Macaca mulatta: one gene and its partners. The protein of the gene in region 3 interacts with the protein of the main gene of each other region in a biochemical or structural test. Links are inferred from orthologs where the notes say so. Each region holds a gene or a part of one and is shown on either strand. Other genes may lie near its edges.

Evidence for each region.
Region 1: the proteins of NUP98 (region 3) and NUP88 form a complex in vitro, tested with the Homo sapiens proteins (2 studies listed by BioGRID). The link is inferred for Macaca mulatta from reciprocal best matches to the Homo sapiens genes NUP98 and NUP88.
Region 2: the proteins of NUP98 (region 3) and KPNB1 form a complex in vitro, tested with the Homo sapiens proteins (3 studies listed by BioGRID). The link is inferred for Macaca mulatta from reciprocal best matches to the Homo sapiens genes NUP98 and KPNB1.

Annotation. Positions count from the first base shown.
Region 1 is NC_133421.1:6,911,484-6,914,983, reverse strand, and holds part of NUP88 (nuclear pore complex protein Nup88), read left to right. Parts: intron 1-937; coding exon 938-1,063; intron 1,064-3,500. UniProt on the Homo sapiens protein: Component of nuclear pore complex.
Region 2 is NC_133421.1:62,351,647-62,353,910, forward strand, and holds part of KPNB1 (importin subunit beta-1), read right to left. Parts: intron 1,068-2,264; coding exon 953-1,067; intron 580-952; coding exon 418-579; intron 1-417.
Region 3 is NC_133419.1:72,131,707-72,135,206, reverse strand, and holds part of NUP98 (nuclear pore complex protein Nup98-Nup96), read right to left. Parts: intron 3,047-3,500; exon of another isoform or gene 1,892-3,046; intron 1,758-1,891; exon of another isoform or gene 1,612-1,757; intron 1,203-1,611; coding exon 1,091-1,202; intron 964-1,090; coding exon 746-963; 3' UTR 1-745. UniProt on the Homo sapiens protein: Plays a role in the nuclear pore complex (NPC) assembly and/or maintenance. NUP98 and NUP96 are involved in the bidirectional transport across the NPC. May anchor NUP153 and TPR to the NPC.

The DNA.
Region 1 (3,500 bases), on a different chromosome or scaffold from region 3:
GTGGAGACGAGGTTTCACTTTGTTGACTAGGCTGATCTCAAACTCCTGACCTCAGGTGATCCACCCATCTTGGCCTCCCAAAGTGCTAAGATAAGTGTGAGCCATCGCACCCAGCCAATGCGCTATAATTTAGAAGATATTTTTATTTCAATTCTTTGATATTGTTTGAATAGATGCCTTGAATGCCCTCTCAGCATGATTTCAGGGAGATACATTTGAAGGAAAGAGAAGCAAAGAGTGTTAAAATAGAAATTCCTTTAGGGCCTTTTACGGTGGCTCACACCTGTAATTCCAGCACTTTGGGAGGCCGAGGCGGGCAGATCACCTGAGATCGGGAGTTTGAGACCAGCCTGACCAATGGCGAAACCCCCTCTCTACTGAAAACAAACAATTAGCCGGGCGTGATGGCAGGTGCCTGTAATTCCAGCTATTCGGGAGGCTGAGGCAGGAGAATCGCTTGAACCCAGTAGACGGAGGTTGCAGTGAGCCAAGATTGTGCCATTAAACTCTAGCCTGGACAACAAGAGAGAAACTCCATCTCAAAAAAAAAAAAAGAAGTTCCTTTAGAAGATTTTTCATCGGCCGGGCGCGGTGGCTCAAGCCTGTAATCCCAGCACTTTGGGAGGCCGAGACGGGTGGATCATGAGGTCAGGAGATCGAGACCATCCTGGCTAACACGGTGAAACCCCGTCTCTACTAAAAAATACAAAAAAAACTAGCCGGGTGAGGTGGCGGGTGCCTGTAGTCCCAGCTACTCGGGAGGCTGAGGCAGGAGAATGGCGTGGACCCGGGAGGCGGAGCTTGCAATGAGCTGAGATCCGGCCACTGCACTCCAGCCTGGGAGACAGAGCAAGACTCCGTCTCAAAAAAAAAAAAAAAAAAGATTTTTCATCAAAGTTGTATAAAATGTTTTGGAAAATTATTATCTTTATTTTAGTACCACTCCAGTTGCTGAGAGATTTTTCACCAGTTCTACCTCTCTGACTCTAAAGCATGCTGCATGGTATCCAAGTGAAATACTGGATCCCCACATAGTGCTGTTAACATCAGACAACGTAATAAGGTAAATTTTATTTTTCTCTCTCTTGAAGCCTTGCAAGTGGGAAAGCTCTGTTTCTGTTTGCCAGTTAACAGCTCAACATAGAACAAAGTGAGTCATTGAATGAGTCTGCTTTTATCTGATGGCTGTTGTAACCCATTCTCAATCATAAGAATCACCTAACTGCCCTAACTTACGTGCCTTACTTACCACTATTCCTTCTCAACGAGTCTTCCTGCCTCCAAGTATCTCCTTTCCTAATCTGACACATTAGAATAATCTTTCCAAAACTCTTTCATCATGTCACCTTTTGGTGATAATGTAGCATAAAAGAAAGAGAATATAAGTATAAATTCAGAGATTTGAATTCTTGTCCCACCTCCTCTTCTGTTATCTTTGAGATCTTGAGCTTCTTTTTAGGGATGGGGGTGGCTCAGTTTCCAATCTTTTAAGTTGAGCAGGTTTGATTCAATAGTTTCTAAAGCCTCTTCTAAGCTTTGCACTCTATTATTAAATGCCCTAATGCTATGTAGATTTCTACTATATTATCAGTTAACTTTCTGGATCGTTAATTGGGAGGACTCAGCAGAAGTACAGATACCTTCAGTTTTATTTTTCTTAATCACTGCTTTTAACTGTGCTCTACTAAATCTTCCTTCACTGCTGAACGGCTCCCCCCTTAATGGTGTCTTGTACAGATCCCCATAGCTTTCTTGTTACTTCTTGTTATGAAAACAGTGTGTCCAGTTTAAAACTCTAATCTTGGCCAGTTGCAGTGGCTCACACCTGTAATCCCAGCATTTTGGGAGGCCGAGGTGGGAGGATCACTTGAGCCCCTGAGTTTGAGACCAATGTGGGCAACGCAGTGAGATCCTGTCTCTGCAGAAAAATTAGCTGGGCATAATGGCATGTGCCGGTAGTCCTAGCTACTCAGGAGACTGAGATAGGAAGATTGCTTGAGCCCAGGAGTTTGAGGCTGCAGTGAGCCATGATCATACCACTGGGTAACAGAGTGAAACCCTGTCTAAAGAAAATAAAAATTTCAAAAGCTATTTGATCTCAAATCTATTTCACAACTATGTCCTGGCCCTTTTGTAGGTCAGACCTGTGTTTTGTGGGATCAGAAGCGATTGGAGAGTGTGCGGTCTGCTCTTTCACTCTTCCTCTTATCCCAGCACTTTGGAGCATAGGGTGAAGTGTAAGGAATGGGCTGCCTCCTCCTTCCTCCAAATCTAACTCCTTCAGTGTGGGGTAGGGGAGTGGGATAGGTGAGGTAGAGATCTTACCAAACTGGTAGTGATGGGGAAGTATGCCTGATCTTGTTTTAATCTCGTTCCATCTGTCACCAGTGAACTCCGCTGATGTGGTAGTCTCTGTATAGATGGGGGTGTGTGTGTGTGTGTGTGTGTGTGTGTGTGTGTGTGTGTGTGTGTGTGTGTGTTGGAGGGCAGTGTTGAACTTCCAGCTCTCCCCATCACTGAGGAGCTCTGGCTCCCATTGGCTCCTGTCAGTTCTCTATGCCCTGAATCCTCTCTCAAGATGGGGTACAGTATACCTTATCTGCAGGGTGTATATTCCAAGACCCCCCAGTGAATGCCTGAAACTGTAGATGGTACTGAACGTGATATGTGTGTATTGCTATGTTTTTTCGATCTAATAACTGAGACAGCTACTAAGTGACTAAGGGGCATTCAGCTAGGAAATGCACCAGTCTCCCTTGTTACAGGTACCTCCACATCTGGCTCTTTCCTAGAGCCTTCCCTGCCCACCCGTTTGGCTTTGGAGTTCAGGGCAGAGAAAGAGGGGAGGGAAAATCTTCCCAGCACAAACATTATACTGTACTCCGAAGGACTCTTTGACATCCTCTCTTCTTAGTCTTCCTTTTATATCCTATGATGGAAAAGGAGATGGTGGGAAGATAACGTAGGTACAGTTCTTAAGCCCCAGAGGAAGTGTCTGGCCCCAGATATTGAAGGTTCTTTTTTAAAATATGTGGTACTTAACACTTCTGTTTTCCTAAGCTTTGGAGATTTTGGGCAATTTCAGAGCAAAAGGAAATTTTCACCGAATGCCCTGTTACACTTTCTTTTTCTTTCACTGTTCCCCAATACAACATTATTGTCTAGTATTTATGTGTATTTTCAAGTTAGTAACGCTTGTAGGAACCTAGGAAGACTGTAATAAATGTGTATTCAAATGGATCAAATTATCATGAAAAACATTTATTAACTACTTAATGTGGCATTTTATTGATATTAGAAGAAACCAAGTTTAAAAATTCTTAGTGGCGTCAGACAAAATAAGTGATTGTAAGGGACTTTGGATTTCTAAAATGACATTACTGGCCTTTTGAAAATTCTTTCCCTTTTTCACAATAGCCTTATATGCTGTGAAATATAGGTTACTTTAAAATAATTTTGGTTAAAAAAAATCAGTATCATACTTTACCTTGAGAAAATAG
Region 2 (2,264 bases), on a different chromosome or scaffold from region 3:
AAAAAGAAAAAACACACACACACAAAAACAAAGTAGGAGCCAGACAACTTTGACTTTGGAAATCTTCTCTAGAGCTAGAAAACGTCTAAAAGCACTGCTGTAAAGAAAGAAAAGAATGGAAAGGAATAGAAAACAGAAGAGAATTAGGGGGAAATGACATTACTGATGATTTTATTAGGACCCAAAATACTCTGGTAATTTCAGTGAATTCCAGTTATAAAAGTTCTGCTCTCCATCACTATGAGGAGTCAAACATTTGGCTCAAGGAAAAACTGAGGTTGCCTGACTCAGAAGCACCTACACGGGAAACAGTACAAACAAAAAAATGCCAGAAGGCAGTGCTTGCCAGAATGGCCTGAAGAAAATATACCTCCCTCCTCCAAGAAGTAGAAGAGGACAGTGGAGGCAAGATCTTACCAAGCTTGGTTCTTCAGTTTCCTCAGTTCTTTTGTTGCCCATGTAGCAAGGGTTTTTGCTTTGTTAGTCTTCGATCTCCGCCCTTCAGTTAACAATTCATGGATCATTGGCCTAGCTTCTACTAATTTCAGTACATCCTTCCCAAATGCTGTACATAAGTCCCTGTGCAAAACAAACACAGCTGAGAATGAGCTCCTGGCCCCATACCAATATCATGTTTTGAGCCTTCCAAACCAGTGCTATGGGTTTCTTAGCATAATTCAAAGATAAATAAAACCCTCAGTAGAGTTCACTAAACAGAGGCAATTTGTTGACCAACATCAGAGTTTATTGGGGTGTAATACAGAGACCTTGAGGGTCTGGAATAAACTATCATGTGAACACTCAAAACAGGACATGAAGGGTTCTACAAAGAAATCTCTATGCCAAAGAAGTGAATTGTTGCCATCTGCGATACTCTCAAAACTCCTTACTCCATGTTTCTCATTTTCCATGAGAAGTTCTATTCAGCTCTTAGAAGCAGGGTATAACTTACCCTATTAGTCCGGCAGCACAAGCTACTACTCCATCTGTATGATCCTCATCTCCAGCAATGTGGTCAATGAAAGACAGAATAAATTCTACTCTGGGTTGTACCAGCATCACATCCGCTATAAAAGAAAGAGAAGGTATTGGTCAGGCGCGGTGGCTCACACCTGTAATCCCAGCACTCTGGGAGGCTGAGGCGTGTGGATCACGAGGTCAGGAGATCGAGACTATCCTGGCTAACATGGTGAAACCATGACTCCACTAAAAATACAAAAAAATTAGCTGGGTGTGGTGGCGGATGCCTGTAGTCCCAGCTACTCGGGAGGCTGAGGCAGGAGAATGGCGTGAACCCGGAAGGCGAAGCTTGCAGTGAGCCGAGACTGCGCCACTACATGCCAGCCTGGGCGACAGAGCGAGACTCCATCTCAAAAAAAGAAAAAAAAAAAAAAAAGAGACGGTCTGATGCACCTGTCCCTCATATGGCAGGACTACATCCTTTTTCAAAATTTCCAACTATTATACCCCTATCATACAAGGTCCAAGCTGGATAACTAAATGCATATAGTTATATCAAATTATTCTTCCTTTGACTAATGTGTCATTCCTCAAGTCGACAGAAGAGACAAATATTCCTCTTCCTATAGGCAAATATAGAAGAAACAAATGTAACTTTTTCCTTAGCTATTGATACCAGAGGGGCGAAGTAAAAAAATTTCCCCAATCAGCAACAAGAACAAGTGACAGGAATTCTGACTCCCCAATCCTCCAATTTAGCTTGTGAGGATGGGAAGCGGGTAGGGGACCTGCCACTCATGGTTGATACAGAAAGCACTTATGTTGGGTTTCTTCCCCCCAACACTTTTGCAGAATCCCATCCCTTGCAAAACTCAAGAAATATGAGAAAAAGAAGCAGAGGGCTGGGTGCAGTGGCTCACGCCTGTAATCCCATCACTTTGGGAGCCCAAGGTAGGAGACTACCTGAGTTCAGGGGTTCGAGAGCAACCTGCACAACATGGTGAAATCCCATCTGTACTAAAATACAAAAGAAAAAAAAAATTAGCTGGGCATGGTGGTGCGTGCCTATAGTCCCACCTACTCAGGAGGCTGAGGCATAAGAATCGCTTGAACTCGGGAGGTGAAGATTGCAGTGAGCTATGATCACGCCACTGCACTCCAGCTTGGGTGATAGAGTAAGACCGTCTCCAAAAAAATAAAAAGAATAAATAAAAAAAATTAAAAAGGCTAGGCACAGTGGCTCAGGCCTGTAATCCCAGCCCTTTGGGAGACCGAGGCAGACAGATCACTTGAGGTCAGGAGTT
Region 3 (3,500 bases):
AAGATGACTGAAAACCAGGGACCAAACCAAATTCTGGGAGCTTCCCATAGACATGTCACATATGACCAAGGGCTCCTGCACATAGTAGTAGCAAAGGTATGGTGTTCATGGAACACTAAAGGCAGGAACAAAAGAAGCTCTGAAGATCAATCCCTCCATGGCAGGCATTCACTTCTGCCCTAAGTGTGTCAGAAAGATCCCATTCTGTTTCCTAACTCAGGCCAACCCTCCTCTGCCTCCAAAATTCAGTGTTAACTAACCAATTACTTAAGAGACGGATCCCTCTTCCTTCTGTGGATAGTTCACCTGTTAAGGATCCATTACTACCTGTCTCACTCCTCCTAAGGAGTCCTAGCATAAAAGGGCCAGGGTAGGAGTAGGGTAGCTGGTTGGCATGGAGGGTCACAAGATCCAGAATGGCTAGGGGTGAAAAAGGATTCCCTGGTTCTTTGGGGGATTCTGCCAAAGGAGCTTTATTGACCATTTATTAAAAGGAAAAACACTGGTCTTGAGGATGGTAAAAAGAGAATTGTCTCCTCTTCTGGGTTCCAGAAGCCCTTATGCTATGTTTAGTATTAAGAAAAGCCCTGAACAACTGGAGGATGCTGCTTGTGGCAGCAGGGAAGGAGGGCAGATGCCATAGCCAACCCAGAGAATGGCAAACAGTGCCAATCCAAACAAGGCAGGGAACCTCTGTGTGGTGAGTGTGAACGGGCATGTGAGTGTGATGCAAAGAGTCTGGGGCTCACAGGCTCCCAACAGCGAGTTCTCGCAGATAGGACTGGGTAAGGCTGCGCAGTTCGTCCATGGCATAGTCCTCAGGCATGGGGAGCCGGCCAATGTGGGGAGCCAAGAGGCGCAAAGGGACTCGCTGAGGGTCTGGTGTTGAGTCGGAGGTTCTATCAGGAGCATGATGCAGACTCAGCACCACCCGCAGCAGGTTGGCTACACGTTTGGCCATGTCTAGAGAGAAAAACTAGAGTTAAGCACTGAGCATGGGTCTAGAGAACGGTGGCAGGCACTGAGGGTGGGGTGTAAGATAAAAACAGGAAGCAAGAAGGCAGAAAAAGTGAGGAGATTAGAGGCTTACCTGACTGAGCTAGGCGATCTTTAGCATTGTAACACTGAATCTGCTCTATGCGACTGCACAGTGAAGTCACTTTGATGTGTAACTGCTCCAGGTCATAACCTGAGCAATCCACCTACAAAGAAGCAGAGAAGTCAATTAATCCAAGGGGAGTTCCTATCACTCAACACCACCTATAGACTCTATACAAAACCTTGAAACAACAGTGAGGTGAGGGAGGGGAAAATCCAAGAAGATGACACAGGGTCAAGCCACCACCATCTAGTGGAGGACAAGGCACTAATTATGCAGTAACAGACAAGAGGAAGGTAACATAGTGTACACAGCCTTGGACTAGGAAAGTCTTGAGATCCCGAAAGATACAGCAAGCTTTAATAATACAGCAAGCTTTAATAATACAGCACCAAAAATCAAGATAAACTGGGTTCAGAGAGATGGTATGACTTCTTAAGAGCACACAGGAAGTAAAAAATGCAGCCTGAACCAACATTTAATTTAGGTCCCCTGACTCCAAGTTTATAGCCTTTTCTATTTTTTTTTTTTTTGAGACGGAGTCTCGCTCTGTCACCCAGGCTGGAGTGCAGTGGCGGGATCTCAGCTCACTGCAAGCTCTGCCTCCCGGGTTCACGCCATTCTCCTGCCTCAGCCTCCCAAGTAGCTGGGACTACAGGCGCCTGCCACCTCGCCCGGCTAAGTTTTTGTATTTTTAGTAGAGACGGGGTTTCACTGTGTTAGCCAGGATGGTCTCGATCTCCTGACCTCGTGATCCGCCCGTCTCGGCCTCCCAAAGTGCTGGGATTACAGGCTTGAGCCACCGCGCCTGGCCTAGCCTTTTCTAAAACACCAAAAAAGCTGGGTGCAGGCAGCAGGAGGATCAAGAGCAAGACAAATTATTTGCTCTCATGAAACTGACAGAAACTAAATAAGAAAACATAAAACAGTAATACATCCTGAAAAATCACAAGCCATGTAGATAATTTAAACAGGTGGATGTTGCAGAGAGAAACTGGATAGCTACTTGAGACTGGAGGACCAAGAGAGGCTTCTTCAAGGAGGTCATATTTAAGTCGAGACCTGAATTACAAGGAGAGAGCTCAGCTTTCCAGGCAAAGAGAAGACAGCTAAAACTCCCAAAGGTGAGAATTCAAAGGAGATTTACATGGTGACATGTGGGGTAAGGGGGAAAAGCAGAACAAACCAATACTAGAGAGGTTTTATGTAACACAGGCTTTTTTTTTTTTAAAGGGGGGCTCTCGCTATGTTGCTCAGGCTGGTCTCAAGCAACCCTCCTGCCTCAGCCTCCCAAAGTGCTAGGATTACAGTCACGCACCACCACATCCAGCTATGTGCTGGCACATTGATAGTTCTCTTTGCTTAACCCCTATACTTATGAAGCTACAGTAACTGCTGCTTTACTTGTATATATCTCCCCCACGAAATCATTATTTTGGTAAGGGCAGAACACATACTGTTTACTTTTATATTCCCCAAACCCACTACAGTGCTTGGCACACAGTGAGTTCTCCATAATAGTTGTGTGAATTACTCAATATTCAATGAGAAAGTGGTTTCTTCAAATGATTATTTAGAAATGATGCTCTTGATTCACATGAAAAGTACAGCAAACATTGAATTATGCCTATTATGTGTCAGGCGCTGTACTAGGAGTTGGAACTTTGATGAGGATAATAATAGGTAAAAATTATTAAGCATTTAGTAGAGGCTAAGGTCAGGAGTTTGAGACCAGACTGGCCAACATGGTGAAACCCTGTCTCTACTAAAAAAAAAAAAAAAAAAGGCTGGGCATGGTGGCACACGCCTGTAGCCTGTAATCCCAGCTACTGGGGAGGCTGAGGCAGAATTGTTTGAAGCTGGGAGATGAACGATGCAGTGAGCTGAGATTGTGCCACTGCCCTCCAGCCTGGGTGACAGAGCAAAACTCTGCCTCAGCCGGGCGCGGTGGCTCAAGCCTGTAATCCCAGCACTTTGGGAGGCCGAGACGGGCGGATCACAAGGTCAGGAGATCGAGACCATCCTGGCTGACACGGTGAAAGCCCGTCTCTACTAAAAAAAAAATACAAAAAACTAGCCGGGCGAGGTGGCAGGCGCCTGTAGTCCCAGCTACTCGGGAGGCTGAGGCAGGAGAATGGCGTGAACCCGGGAGGCGGAGCTTGCAGTGAGCTGAGATCCGGCCACTGCATTCCAGCCTGGGCAGCAGAGCGAGACTCCGTCTCAAAAAAAAAAAAAAAAAAAAAAACTCTGCCTCAAAAAAAAAAAAAAAAAAAAGCATTTAGTACATGAAAGGTACTACGTTAAACACTTTATGTAGATTTGGTTTAATCTTTGTGAAAATCTGTCAGATATGAGCTGTAATTTGTACTACTGTCTACCCCACTCACCTTTCTCATTCAGA